2 linked regions of the Macaca fascicularis genome follow. The protein of the gene in region 2 interacts with the protein of the main gene of each other region in a biochemical or structural test. Links are inferred from orthologs where the notes say so. Each region holds a gene or a part of one and is shown on either strand. Other genes may lie near its edges. The genes, in order: TOR1A and torsin-1A-interacting protein 2.

Region 1 (7,821 bases), on a different chromosome or scaffold from region 2:
GAGAGTGGAGTAAGCTATACGGGGCAGAGCTGGGACCTGAACCCAGTCCTGTCTCACTCCAAAGCCCAATACTCTGATTACAGTTCCCATGCTGCGAGATGCCACACAGATGCTGTCAGAGCTGCTGCTCTTTTGTCATCAAAGGGGCAATGTGGGATGTCATGAGGATACTGATTTTTATTTGAAAAGGGGGTGAGGTTGGGCACGGTGGCTCACACCTGTAATCCAAGCACTTTGGGATGCTGAGGCAGACGGGATCAGTTGAGGTCAGGGGTTTGAGACCACCCTGGTCAACATGGTGAAACCCCATCTCTATTAAAATACAAAAATTAGGGCCAGGCATGGTGGCTCATGCCTGTAGTCCCAGCACTTTGGGAGACTGAGGTGGGCGGATCACCTGAGGTCAGGAGTTCAAGACCAGCCTGGCCAACATGGTGAAACCCTGTCTCTACTAAAAAAAAATACAAAATTTAGCTGGGCATGGTGGCAGGTGCCTATAGTCCCCGCTACTCAGGAGGCTGAGGAAGGAGAATTGTGTGAACCCGGGAGGCGGAGGTTGCAGTGAGCTGGGATCACGCCACTACACTCCAGCCTGGCAACAGAGCAAGACTCCATTAAAAAAAAAAAAAAAAAAATTTGCCAGGCGTAGTGGCGGGTGACTGTAATCCCAGGTACTTGGGAGGCTGAGGCTTGAGAATCGCTGGAACCTGGGAGGCGGAGGTTGCAGTGAGCTAAGACTGCCCCACTACAGTCCAGCACTCCAGCCTGGGCGACAGAGTGAGACTCTGTCTCAAATAATAATAAACAACAATAAAACAAAATGAAATAAACAAGGATTCATTCAGACTTGTTAGGCTCCAGCAGCCAAGATTTCCTACTCTGGTGACCTACTAACTTATATGGAATATTCTAAGCACTGTTCATACAACTTTTTTTTTTTTTTTTTTTTGAGACAGAGTCTTGCTCTGTCACCCAGGCTGGAATGCAATGATGTGATCTCAGCTCACTGCAACCTCTGCCTCCCAGGTTCAAGCGATTCCCTTGCCTCAGCCTCCTGAGTAGCTGAGATTACAGGCACCTGCCACTACGCCCAGCTAATTTTTGTATTTTTTTTTTTTTTTTTTTTTTTGAGACGGAGTCTCGCTCTGTCGCCCAGACTGGAGTGCAGTGGCGCGATCTCGGCTCACTGCAAGCTCCGCCTCCCGGGTTCACGCCATTCTCCTGCCTCAGCCTCCGGAGTAGCTGGGACTACAGGCGCCCGCCACCACGCCCGGCTAATTTCTTTTTGTATTTTTAGTAGAGACGGGGTTTCACCGTGTTAGCCAGGATGGTCTCGATCTCCAGACCTCGTGATCCGCCCGCCTCGGCCTCCCAAAGTGCTGGGATTACAGGCTTGAGCCACCGCGCCCGGCCAATTTTTGTATTTTTAGTACAGATGGCGTTTCACCATCTTGGCCAGGCTGGTCTTGAACTCTTGACCTCAGGTGATCCACTCGCTTTGGCCTCCCAAAGTGCTGCGATTACAGGTGTGAGCCACCGCGCCTGGTCTGTTCATAAAATATTTTACTCTGACCTCCCAAAACCCATCATGGTAGTTACCACTGTGCTCCTTCTTTTACAAATGAGAAAACTGAGGCACAGACAAGTGAAGTAACTTGCCTAAAGTCACAGTTATTGTTAGTGAAGCCTCAGTTCTAAGATGACCAACTCATCCTGATTCCTCTAGAATGGTTCCTGCTTGTTTGGGACAGGGTCTCACTCTGTCACCCAGGCTGGAGTGCAGTGGCTCTCTGCTCACTGCAGCCTCGACCTCCCAGGTTCAAGCCATCCTTCTGCCTCAGGCCCCTAGCTGGGACTACAGGTGCGTGCCACCACGCCTGACTAATTTTTTTTTTGTATTTTTTTAGTAGAGATGGGATTTCACCATGTTCCCCAGGCTGGTCTGGAACTCTTGAGCTCAAGGGATCAGCCGGTTTGGCTTCCCATAATGCTAGAATTACAGGTGTGAGCCACCACACCCATGGGACATTCGCATTTCAGGACAGAACCGCTGGACAGTGGGTGACCCACGTGCTTACCCAAACAGAAGGGAAAAATGTGTTCACGTTTTTCCATGGATACAGTCAGGGATAAATAACTGATTGAGGCCAGGCATGGTGGCTCATGCCTGTAATCTCAGCACTTTGGGAGGCAGAGGCAGGTGGATCACCTTGAGGTCAGGAGTTCCAGACCAGCCTGGCCAACAAGGTGAAACCCTGTCTCTACTAAAAATACAAAAATTAGCTGGGTGTGGTGGCGGGCACCTGTAATCCCAGCTACTTGGGAGGCTGAGGCAGGAGAATCACTTGAACCCGGGAGGCAGAGTTTGCAGTGAGCCCAGATGGAGATTGTGCCATTGAACTCCAGCCTGGGCTACAAGAGTGAAACTCAGTCTCAAAAAATAAACAAATAATAACTTTTGCCCACCTTGCAGGTCTGTTACAAGGATCTAAAAGGCAACAGTTAACATTTATTTGTAACATGCACCAGGCACATGTTACACACTTGACAGACAGAGTTCCCTGGATTGTTACAAGCAACACTTTGTAAGTCAGAACCTGAGTCTCAGGTCAGGCAACTGTCCTAAGACTATGGAGCTGGGAGAGTGTTAGGACTCAAATCCAGATGTGTCTGCTGCCAAAGCCCAAGCTGCTAATCAGTGAGTTCAACCATAAAAGCTGTTTGCCGCTGGGCGAGGTGGCCCACACTTGTAATCCTAGCACTTTGGGAGGCTGAGGTGGGCAGATCACTTGAGGTCGGGAGTTCGAGACCAGGCTGGCCAATGTGGGGAAACCCCATCTCTACTAGAAATACAAAGATTAGCCGGGTGTGGTGGTGCATGCCTGTAGTCACAGCTACTCGGGAGGCTGAGGCAGGAGAATCGCTTGAACCCAGAAGGCGGAGGTTGCCGTGAGACAAGATGGCGTCACTGCACTCCAGCCTGGACAACAGAGTGAGACCCTGACTCAAAGAAAAAAAAAGGGCAGTTTGCAACAGTAGGTTCAACAAACTTAGGACTCTCTACATATGTTTCCTCTTTCACAAAATGAGTGAGATGTGACCGGGCATGGTGGCTCACACCTGTAATCCCAGCACTTTGGGAGGCTGAGGTGGGCGGATCACCTGAGGTCAGGAGTTCGAGACCAGCCTGGCCAAGTTGGCAAAACCCCATCTCTACTAAAAATACAAAAATTAGCTGGGCATGGTAGCAGGAGCCTGTTATCCCAGCTACCTGGGAGGCTAAGGCAGGAGAATTGCTTGAACTAGGAGGCAGAGGTTGCAGTGAGCTGAGATCATGCCATTGCACTCCAGTCTGGGTAGCAAGAGTGAAACTTCATCTCAAAATAAAGGAAAAAAAAAAACAAAAACGAGTGAGATGTGTTGATCTCTAAGATGGATTAGATCATGTCCACCTCTAAAATCCCATGACCCTACAAACTCACTGGACCGATTTTCAGAACCCACCACAAAGCTTTGATGGTGTTAACTGCTCCACGCATCTCAAACTCTAACTTCTACACCTTTCCAAGGGGAACTGAGACGTGAACCATTTTCAGGGCTCACTCATTTCAACACAATTTCCAAATCTCATCCCACAACGAAGAGACCCCAAACCCGACGACATCCAGGAAGGGATTCCAAACTCCCATCCTTGCCTTGTACAAGGTGATGTTTGAAGCATGTGGAAAGTGCAATGTGGCCACAAACAGGTGGACATAGTCACTGTTCAGACCACCCTCGTAAATATTCTCTGCGATGATCTTGCTGACGAAATTTTTGCCGGTGCCTGTCCACCCGTGCAGGGAGAGGGTGAGAGGTTTCTTGGGCTTCGGATTGTTTATGAAACCAAACACAGCATTTAAGATGATTTTCTTTGCAAGATGCTGTCCAAAGAGCTTGTTGTCCAGATCCTTCTGCAATGCTGGGGGAGACAAAGCCAATCAGGAGTGGGGAAGAAACAGTGACAAAAGGCAGCCACATTTACAGCCCATGAGAAAGTCAGCAAAGCCGTCTAGCTCTTCAAGCACCTTGTGAAACCTCAAGTACTGCGGTCTGTAAGCTCCTGGCCCAGAGGGGACGGTGGTCCAGGGAGCCCTCCCTTTGCTGGTCCTGCCTATTCTAAAGCCCTGGCCCGGTTCCTTCCCGAAAAGGCCCTTGGTGCGGGTGCCACTGCCACTGCCACTGCCACCAGTTTGCACCTCTAACCCCTGTGCTGCTCCTCCCACCCCAAGGCAGGGCGGGGAAAGAAAGCAGTTTGGTCCCTCCCGGTCGGCTCCGAAGAAGTCCTCACCATCCTTCCTGTCTCCCGCTAGGCTATAAAGGAAGCAGAGCCCACTTCGGAGGGAGATTACCACCGGTCCACCCCCAGCTTAGCACAAAGTAGGCCAACCTGCAGCCCGGCTCCTCAGGTCTCCAACTGAAGTCTGGCCCGTCTGTGGTGGCCAAGGGGCCAGGCCTCATCCTGCAGGGGTCGCTCGGCTTCCGGGGTCCGGCCCGCACGGACTCAGCTCTGCCCAGGCCCGGCCCTCCTGGGATTTGATCCCTATCCCGGCCCGGCCCTAGTGCCATCCCCCAGCCCCCAAGCCCCGCTCCAGCCCTAGTCCTAGCCCGGCCCTAGTGCGATTCACCAGCCCCAGCCCCAGCCCGGCCCGGCCCTAGTGCCATCGCCCAGCCCCCAAGCCCCGCTCCAGCCCTAGTCCTAGTCCGGCCCCGGTGCCATCCCCCCGCCTCCATCCTCCATCCTCCATCCCCTGGTCCTAGCCCAGCCCTAGTGCCATCTCCCAGCCCCAGCCTCCAGCCTCCAGCCTCCAGCCCCCGCCCCAGCCTCCAGCCCCCGCCCCAGCCCCCGCCCCTGCCTACCCTCCCTGCTAAGGCTCCGCTTCTGCCCGCAGCACTCGGCGAAGAGGCAGTAGAGACGCGGGTAGATGTAGCCGGTGAGGACGCCGGCCAGGGCCAGTCCCAGGCTGATGGGCTCCACCGCCTGCACCACGGACGGCGCCAGCAGCAGCAGGCCCAACGCGGCCCGGCCCAGCTTCATGCCCGGACCCGCGCCACCCTGCGCGTTCTCGCGCCGACCGCGAACCAGTACCGCCGCCAGACCCGCGCTTCCGGTTCCTCCTCGCGCGGAGGCCATCTTTCTTCAGGGCAGCCCTCCTCCCGACGCCGGCGGCCGCCATCTTTGTTCGGTACAAAGCCCTGTTTTGCTTCCGGAAGGTCGGATCTGCACCGCCCCCGTCGGCCACGTGTTTTTGTTTGTTTATTTTAAAGTAATGGACGTTATTTTTGCCGGGCGTGGTGGCTCACGCCTGTAATCCCAGCCCTTTGGGAGGCTGAGGCGGGTGTATCACCTGAGGTCAGGAGTTCGAGACCAGCCTCACCAACATGGTGAAACCACGTCTTCTACTAAAAATATAAAATCAGCCAGGTGTGGTGGTAGGCACCTAGCTACTGGGGAGGCTGACGCATGAGAATCGCTTGAACCCAGGAGGCGCAGGTTGCAGTGAGCTGAGATCCCACCACTATACTCCAGCCTGGGCGACAGAGCAAGACTGTGTCCCTCCCCCAAAAAAATAATAATGGACGTTAATTTTTAGAACAGATTTACAGAAAAAATTGTAAGAGTACAGAGTTCCCATGTGCCACACCTCCCTGCAATTACCCGTTACTAAATTCTTACATTATTAGTGTATTACATTTGTTAAAATTAACGAAGCACTGTTGTTATATTAACTAAAGTGTACAGTTTATTCGGATTTCCTTCCTTTTACTTATGCCTTTTTCTGCTCCAGGTTTCCATTCAGGATACATTAATTTGTTATGTCTTAGACTCCTGTTAGTGACAGTGTCTCAGCCTTTTATTTTTATTTTTATTTTAGCTGGAGTGCAGTGGTGTGATCTCAGCTCACTGCAACCTCCGCCTCCCAGGTTCAAGTGATTCTCCTGTCTCAGCCTCCCGAGCAGCTGGGATTACAGGCATACACCACCATACCTGGCTAATTTTTGTATTTTTGGTAAAGACGGGGTTTCACCATGTTGGCCAGGATGGTCTTGATCTCCTGACCTTGTGATTCACCCACCTCAGCCTCCCAAAGTGCTGGGATTACAGGTGTGGGCCACCATGCCTGGCCTCAGCCTTTTATTTTTGATGACCTTGATAGTTTTGAGGAGTATTGCCACAATCTTTGGTAGGCTGGCCCTCTACTGGAATTTGATGTTTTTCTCAGGATTAGACTAGCGCTATGGGGTTTTGGAAGGAAGATCACAAAGGTAAAGTGCTATGCTCATCACATTCTACCAAGGAAGGGTTCTTACTGTCAACATTACCTATCACTGTTGGTGCTGACTTGATCACTTGACTGAGGTAGTATCAAGTCTCCGCACTGTACACTTATTCTTCTCCCCACCCCTCTTTTCTCTACTGTACTCTTTGGAAGGAGGTCCCCATGCACAGCCCACACATTAAGGAGTTAGGGATTTTGCTCCACCTCCTTGGGAGCAGAGTATCTGCAGAGATTATCTGGAATTCTGCATGGGAGATTTGTTTTTTCTCCCCCATGTATTCAATCATTTATATCAGTATGGACCATTGTTATTTTATCCTTTGTGTTATAATACAGTACTAATTTTTTTTTTTCTCAAATTGTTCTCATTTTGGCCACGGGGAATTTAAGTGGTTCTTTGTGTTCCTTTGACCTACACCCAGTGTATACCAGTTTATTTGGGTTTGAGTGCTTCTTTCCTTTCTGCCACTACAGGATGCTCCAGGCTCATCTTGTATATTTCCTGCCCCCGTCCCAGAATCCTATTTCTACGAGGAACCCTGATTCCTTTCATTGTAGAATGGCATTACAAACTGGCTGGGCATGGTGGCTCGTGCCTGTAATCCAGCACTTTGGGAGGCTGAGGCAGGTGGATCACCTGAGATCAAGAGTTTGGGATCAGCCTGACCAATATGGTGAAACCCCATCTCTACTGAAAATACAAAATAATTAGCTGGGCATGGTGGCATGTGCCTATAGTCCCAGTTATGCAGGAGGCTGAAACAGAATTCCTTGAACTCAGGAGGTGGAGGTTACAGTGAGCCGAGATCATGCCACTGCACTCCAGCCTGGGTGACAGCGAGACTCCATCTCAAAAAAAAAAAAAAAAAAAAAAAAAAAGAAAGAAACCAAGCTCTGGGTGCTAGGTGTGCTTCTTGCTGAGATGTCATTTCTTTCAGGCAGTCTCAGCTGACAGAACAAAAAAATGTGTGTATATACTATTAAACACACACACATATCTATAAATATTTCTAGGTAAACATCTGTACTTATATTAAGCTAAACATGAGCTCATGCTGACATCTCCAACTCTAATCCATTACACGGATCATTGGAGCCTCCTCCCCTTGCTTATCTGTGAATTCCCACCCCAACAGTGAGAGACCTGGCTCCCTCCATCTGGTGGCCACTTTTAAGCTGGGTAAAAGATTACTCATTTTCCAGCAAAGGGAACTCTGGCAAGTGAGAACTGTTGATCATCCACTTATTTGCCTGTTCATCCCATAAACACGTGTTGCGTTGCTGTGTGCCAGATGTGCTAGGCCTTTAGTATTCATCTTGGGTTACGCCTGTACATCGTTGGGACCTGTTAAATGCTAGTTGAAATATCCTGAAAATATTTTTTAAGGTTCAACTTTTCATATTGGATTTCAAATAATACTTTTGTGCATTTGTTACAAGCCAGACACTATAGGGATCATTCACAGTTTTGAGGGCTGCCTATGTGTCAGATTGTGGGCTA
Region 2 (7,696 bases):
CTAACTGGATTTTGTCTGCAACTACTAACGGTACTGTTTCCCTAATGGTGGTTTTGTATTTCCTTCTTTCCTTCAATGTTTACTAACTGGAATTCTTCTGTTAGAAAGAGTTGTCCCTTCTCCCCTACTTATTTATTCAGCAATATCAGTATGAACTCATTTTATTTTATGGGTTAAAGTCCAATACTATCACTATTCATTTTACTGCTCAAATTGCTCCAACCTGGATACCAGGAACTCCTTCAAGTTGGCTCCTTTTGACAAGGTCCCTAACTTTTTCTAGCATTTCCTTACTTTCAAGCACCACAGGATGTTTCAGGCTCATCTTGTATTTTCTCTGCCTCCGCACTGAAATCAGCCACTTCTCTAAAAAGTCCTAGTGCCTTTACAAACCAAGATCTGAATGCTCAGTGCTACTGGGGTATAACTATCAAGCCAACAATATGGACAACAAGTGTGTTTGTTTCCTTACTATATTCAACTCATTAGCTAGGAATCATTAGCATTACCTAGGAACTTGCTAAAAGAACAAATTCAGGCCCCAACCTAGACCCACTAGACCAGAATCTCTGAGAGCCTCTGGCAGGAGTTTATGTTTTAACAGATTTGCCAGATGACTCTGGTGTTCACTATAAAGTTTAAGGAGCATTGCTTTAAAGTTAGTTTTCCTTCATTATAAATCTTATATTTTTAATTTTAAAAAAGGAAAGCTTGCCGGGCGCAGTGGCTCACGCCTGTAATCCCAGCACTTTGGGAGGCCGAGACGGGCATATCACGAGGTCAGGAGATCGAGACCATCCTGGCTAATACGGTGAAACCCCATCTCTACTAAAAATACAAAAAAATTAGCCGGGCATGGTGGCAGGTGCCTGTAGTCCCAGCTACTTGGGAGGCTGAGGCAGGAGAATGGCATGAACTTGGGAGGCAGAGCTTGCAGTGAGCCGAGATCATGCCACTGCACTCCAGCCTGGGTGACAGAGCGAGACTCCATCTCAAAAAAAAAAAAAGGAAAACTTAGACCTAATAATTTGCCTTGTATATAAATTATATTTTTACTACAACTAATAAAACTATAGGTGAATGGCCTCATCTGTTAAGGAACTAAACATTTCCCTTATCTTCTTTATTTTCCTACAACATTTGTTAAAAATCTAGTGATCGGCCGGGCGCGGTGGCTCAAGCCTGTAATCCCAGCACTTTGGGAGGCCGAGGCGGGCGGATCACGAGGTCAGGAGATCGAGACCATCCTGGCTAACACGGTGAAACCCCGTCTCTACTAAAAATACAAAAAACTAGCCGGGCGTGGTGGCGGGCGCCTGTAGTCCCAGCTACTCGGAGGCTGAGGCGGTAGAATGGCGTAAACCCAGGAGGCGGAGCTTGCAGTGAGCTGAGATCTGGCCACTGCACTCCAGCCTGGGTGACAGAGCAAGACTCCGTCTCAAAAAAAAAAAAAAAAAAAAAATCTAGTGATCAAAGTAGTTATAAAGGGGGGTAGGGGCGGGAGGCGCAGTGGCTCATGCCTTTAATCCCAGCCTTCTGGGAGCCAAGGTGAGAGAATCATGTCAGGCCAGGAGTTTGAGACCAGCCTGGTCAACACAGTGAGACCCTATCTTTACAAACATACAAAACATAGCTGGGTATGGCAGTGTGTGCCTATCGTCTCAGTTACTTGGGAGACTGAGGTGGGAGGATCACTTGAGCTCAGGAGTTCAAGTTTGCAGTAAGCCATGATAGTGCCACTATACTCCAGCCTGGGAAACAGAGCAAGCCCTTGTCTCAAAAAGAAAAGAAAAGAAAAGAAAAGAAAAAAGAAAAAGTAGTTATATACAGTACTTTAAAAAATACCGTAGTCAGGTATGGTGGCTCATGCCTATAATCCCAGGAAGTTCAAGCAGGAGAAGACTGCTTGAGCCCAAGGGTTCAGAGACCAGCCTAGACAACATATCAAGATCTTGTCTATACAAAAAATACAAAAATTAGTCAGGTATGGTGGTCTGTGCCTGTAGTCTCAGCTACTTGGAAGGCTGAGGTGGGAGGATTACTTGAGACTGGGAGGTCAAGGATGCAGTGAGCTGTGATTGTGCCACTGCACTCCAGCCTGGATAAGAGAGAGAGATCTTGTTTCAAAAAAGAAACAAACAAAAAACTTTCATACAAAGAATGTTGTAAGTCAGCCTCCAGGATCAACTCCTATCTACAAATATGACCTAACATCCATAAAGCAAATCTACCAAACATAAAACCCAATATAGCACTATCCTCTAAGGTCAGACTGTCTAGGCCTGAATGACTGCTCCAGCTTCTGACTTGGTGTTTCTCTTTCTCTCTCTGCCCTTGGTTTTCTTTGTTTTTTGTTTTGTTTTTGAGACGGAGTCTCACTCTGTCCCCCAGGCTGGAGTGCAATGGCGTGATCTCAGCTCACAGTAACCTCCGCCTCCCAGGGTCAAACGATTCTCCTGCCTCGAGCCTCCCGAGAAGCTGGGATTACAGGTGCCCGCCACCATGCCCAGCTAATTTCTTTGTATTTTTAGTAGAGATGGGGTCTCACCATGTTGGCCAGGCTGGTCTCAAACTCCTGATCTCAAGTGATCCATCCACCTTGGCCTCCCAAAGTGCTGGGACTATAGGCATGAGCCACTGTGCCCAGCCCCTGGCTAACTTTTTCCTTGGTTTTCTTAATTATAAAATGGAATAACAGTACTTAGATGAAAGAGGCAATGTGAAGATTAAATGAGATAATGAGCAATACTGACAACCACAGGGGCAGAAAAGAAGTCCTCAAAAACTGTAAATTGTTATTATTTGAACTACTACAGGCAAAACCAAACAGCTTCATTTAATTAAAACAAAATCCCAGAAGACACTAATGTTTTAAAATTTGACTTTTTCCAAAAATGTCATTACATTTACATGATATATACTCATAGTCAAGGGCTGAAGGAAAATCTCCAAAAACCAAACAATTTGTTGTTGAGGTAGTGGAATTATAGGTGAATTTTCTTCCCAGAAATTTTGATTACCAAAATTATGTGCACAGTTCATAACTGAGTCATGGCACCAAAAAAAAAAAAAAAAAAAAAAAAATTCATGTGTCAGCTCCTTTAAATACTAGTAAAAAGGGAAACAGCCCACACAGTGACAAAATAGGAATTCAAACCCAGCTATGACTCCAAAGTCTATGCTCATTGGGACACCCTTCCTTATTCCCAAATGTTTGATTTCTGTGCAAAATTTATGATAATGTATGATCGCCCTACGAATTCCTTCTTGTGGGACACAGTTTAATCCAGTAGTTCATATGATGTAGAAATATTAAAGAAATTTTAACACAATTAAAATTCTAAACAGTAAATAAAACAGCCAATTCTTCATTCTTCAAATTTTTTGGGAGGTTGTCAGATCTCCAAGTTTATGGGCCTTCGCAGTTAACTTAGTGAACAACCTCGAAGTGATAAAGCAGACAAGGCTTCTTGAAGCAAACTTTCCTTCAGGAAATTCAAGTGGCATTTCAAAGAAGTGTGGACTTTCCTGGAATAGAGTTTTGACTTCTGTGTTCCATGGAAATGAATGAAACACAGAAATGACTTCTTAGGCAAAAATAAGTTATATACAAAATACAATGCATTGTTAAAACACCCAATAATCCTCAAATAATTAGCTACATTCTGAAGTTAATTTACTTGTGAATTATTGAAGCTCTCAAGCTAGCATTACCTCTATATTAGGAAAGAAACTAGATAAAACAGTTCTTAAATGAGTCACGAAAGGTTGCGTAACAAACCTGCAGAAAAACAGGTAATCAAGTTGTGGACTGCACATTCAGCATAATAAACATTATTGAAGACAGGCACTCAATTTTCATAGCAAATGTTAGTTTTTCAAACTGTTCTAATCCACACAAAGGCTTCCAAGAACATCTGTAGTTACTCTACCATGAAGTTCCTTTTTTTATTAAATGTTTCCACTGGCCCTTTATATACTCACCTTGTGCTCAAAAAATAGAGCTCAAAAAACATGGATAACTGCCACAGCTTAAAGAAAGGATCTCTCATACAGATTCAAAAGAAAACGTGTTACAACCTAAACACAGGTAAAACAAAACCAGTATGTTTAATCTATATAACTCATTTCTGGATCTGTGTAACAGTATAAAGTCTGATAATTAAGCATTACTCATAAAGTAGAGAGTACTATGAACTTTGTTAAAAGAAGGAAAAGGCACAAACTTTTTCATCAGGTATTAAATACAATTGGGAGAATGTACATATATAATATGTAAGCAAAATGGTAGGAGGTCTTACTGAAACTTCAACTTTGCCCTTTTTAGCACCATTTTTTTTTTAAGTACTATCTTTTCAGGATTAAGATTAAGAATGTCGAGATCCTAGGCATGCTGGGCATGGAGTAATCGCCACCTACACTAGTAGGCAAATTTCCCACTTACATTTCGAACCCTAAAATAATTCTGCTTCTCATATTAAAGTCTAAACCCCAAAATTTACTCACATCTTACCCCATTTAATATTTATAAGATTCAGTTTCTTTTTATCCTAAAACAAAAATATACCCCCAACCTACCTCGTTTACTGTTTGAGTGAGGCCAGGCGTGGTGGCTCACGCCTGTAATCCCAGCACTTTGGGAGGCTGAGGCGGGAGGATCGCTTGAAGCCGGGAGTTCGAGACCCGCCTGGGCAATACAGTGAGACCCTGTCTCTACAAAAATAAAAAATAAAGTTATTAGTGGGGCATGGTGGTGCGGGCCTGTAGTTCGAGCTACTTGGGAGGCTGAGGCGGGAGGATCGCTTGAGCCCAGAAGTATGAGGCTGTGGTGAGCTACAATCACGCCACTGTACTCTAGCCTGAGTGACAGGGCAAGTACCTGTCTCAAAAACAATAAAAATTAAAATACCATTTGTGCGGTAGGGAGGTGGGGGTGGGGAGGGGCCGTTTCTGGAAGTCCTTTTGAAAAATTCAAGACATTAATTCCAATACTAAAACATGGAAAAGTTGCATAGTCATTTTGTTTACTTACAAATTCTGGCGGGGTTTCAAATCGTAGAACTGTTAGTATCAGGAGAGCCCTTCGAGTGGTCTTTCCGCTCCACACCGCTCGGCTGCACCCAGCGGCCGCTGCGGCCCGAATGTCGTCCAGGGTCCCCGCCCATATGACAAACACTTTCCGCCGGAAGGCGCCTGTGGAATGCTGGGACTAGTAGTCTCCGCGCCCTGCCTTCTGCCTTCTCTATCCTTCACCCTCTACTGCCAGGTCGTCTGACCCAGCGACAGGCGCGGTAAATGCGCGACCAAACCGCGGAGGTCCCCGAGTTCTCATGCTATCTGACAGGATTACAGGCATCTCTGTAAGACGTCGACCACCCTGACCCATATGACCTGACATTCATAGACTGAAGAAACTCATAGGACCAACACAGTGAGAAGCAGTACCAAATGATAATGGCAAGCACCAAGTCCTGGAACACACCCTCTGTGCCATTAAGAGGAGCATGTACTCAAACGAATTGCCTAATCTAAACCTCAGTTTGCTCGTGTGTCAAATGGGGACAACGTTACTTACCTCATAAGATGGTTATGAGTAAATTAGATGACATATGTAGTATGTCTGCTAAATGACAGTAGTGACAAAAAAATAGCTATTGTTTTGATCTATTAATTTTATAAATGTGAAAATTAAGAGATGGCGAGCAATTTACCCAAGAACATACAATTTGTTGGGGGCAAAATCGAGTAAGTCTAAAATTCCTGTTCTTGACCTATACCAATTCAAGACAAATCTAAACCAATTTCAAGAAGAAATCTACTCATGTAAAACTCCCTTCCCCTTTCCTCAGTTTTATCCATAACAGTCCTGACCAACACACTATTTTACTTATTTTGATTTTTGCCTGACTCCTCCCATAGAATATAATCTCCAAGTAGGCAGGAAACATTTTTTTTTAAATCAATTTTGTTCATGCTGTATCCCCATCATAGAGAACAGGGACTGACTACTACATAGTAGCTCAGGTATTTATTGAATTAATAATTCCTCATTTAATGTGATTTTTTGGTGCCTTCACTTCTCAACCATCCTCTTTTGGCAGAAGTGACAGGATATGGTAACTCTCTTGGATGGTGTTTAATAATTAACTGCAATTCCTAATTCAACAAAAAGTAGAATACTATATTCCATCCATTCATTGTGTTTAATTTCAGTATAACATTTCCAGCTATTTTCATTTGTATTAAGTCATTAAAATATTTTTTCTATCATTTGTAAGACTGGGGAATAAATGGAGCCAGCTACTATATCTTTAATTAACTTCCTCCTGTTTAATATTTTAATCATATTTTCCTTATTAAAATTAAGTGTTGCCCACTTCATTTCTACTACTAAGTCACAACAGATAGATGATTTCTCTTTAAATAAATGAATTTCTGCTTACCCTAAGCAAAAAGTTCCTGTACAAAATTTGTTCTCAAATGTTTCATTTAAAATAATTTATTTTGACCAGGCGTGGTGGCTCATGCCTGTAATCCAAGGACTTTGGGAGGCCAAGGCGGGTGGATCACCTGAGGTCAGGAGTTCAAGACCAGCCTTGACAACATGGCAAAACTCTGTCTCTACTAAAAATAACAAAAATTAGCTGGGCGCGGTGGCAGACACCTGTAATCCCAGCTACTCGGGAGGCTGAGGCATGAGATCACTTGAACCCGGGGTGGCGGGAAGCTGCAGTGAGCTGAGATTGCGCCACTGCACTCCGGCCTAGGCGAAAGAGCCAGACTCTGTCTCTAAATAAATAAATTAAAAATGAAACAAAGTAACTGATTTAGGAACCCAGTCGCAAGAGCACAGGATTTCTAGACCTAGCCCTAATAGTTAAGTGTGTGAATTAATGCCAGTCATTTAATCTGAATTGTAATTTTTCGTGTTTCTCTTTCCCAATAAATGGCAAATTCCCTAAAGGTAAAGCAATCTTCCTCATTGCTGGCACAAAATACATGTTTGGTAAGTAAATGAATTATTTAGTGTATTCTTTGTTTTAACCATTTCTTTTCTTTCTTTCTTTCTTTTTTATTTTTTTGAGACGGATTCTCGCTCTGTCCCCCAGGCTAGAGTGCAGTGGCCGGATCTCGGCTCACTGCAAGCTCCGCCTCCCGGGTTTACGCCATTCTCCTGCCTCAGCCTCCTGAGTAGCTGGGACTACAGGTGCCCGCCACCTCGCCCGGCTAGTTTTTTCGTATTTTTGTAGCAGAGACGGGGGTTTCACCGTGTTAGCCAGGATGGTCTTGATCTCTTGACCTCGTGATCTGCCCGTCTCGGCCTCCCAAAGCGCTGGGATTACAGGCTTGAGCCACCGCGCCCCGCCTAATCATTTCTTTTCTTACTGGTCTTCTTTTATGAGTCGCTGAATTCCTCCAGATTTCTCAAATTCCCAAAGTAACTTTAACATCCAGAGCTGAGGCCTCCTTTTTTAGTGGCCCAGCGCATCCCTTATAATATTGGCTATGAGTCTACTGTCACTGTAATGTCACCTCTTTTGAGCAACTCTTATAGTCTGGATAATAGCTACAGCAGAGTATCTAGTTTTGTAACAGTTTAGTTTTGCCTCAGAGTTAGTCAGTGTGGTATCTGCAAGGTTTCTAGGTGAAGGAGGCAGTCACAGTAGAGGTAGGTCTCTGTATGCTTACAACCTAG

Evidence for each region.
Region 1: the proteins of torsin-1A-interacting protein 2 (region 2) and TOR1A form a complex in vitro, tested with the Homo sapiens proteins (4 studies listed by BioGRID and IntAct, with this or other methods). The link is inferred for Macaca fascicularis from reciprocal best matches to the Homo sapiens genes TOR1AIP2 and TOR1A.

The regions. Positions count from the first base shown.
Region 1 is NC_088389.1:14,081,760-14,089,580, reverse strand, and holds the start of TOR1A (torsin-1A), read right to left. Parts: upstream 5,127-7,821; 5' UTR 5,078-5,126; coding exon 4,900-5,077; intron 3,962-4,899; coding exon 3,696-3,961; intron 1-3,695. UniProt on the Homo sapiens protein: Protein with chaperone functions important for the control of protein folding, processing, stability and localization as well as for the reduction of misfolded protein aggregates.
Region 2 is NC_088375.1:37,363,993-37,371,688, forward strand, and holds the start of torsin-1A-interacting protein 2, read right to left. Parts: upstream 5,144-7,696; 5' UTR 5,033-5,143; intron 4,714-5,032; exon of another isoform or gene 4,579-4,713; intron 1-4,578. UniProt on the Homo sapiens protein: Required for endoplasmic reticulum integrity. Regulates the distribution of TOR1A between the endoplasmic reticulum and the nuclear envelope as well as induces TOR1A, TOR1B and TOR3A ATPase activity.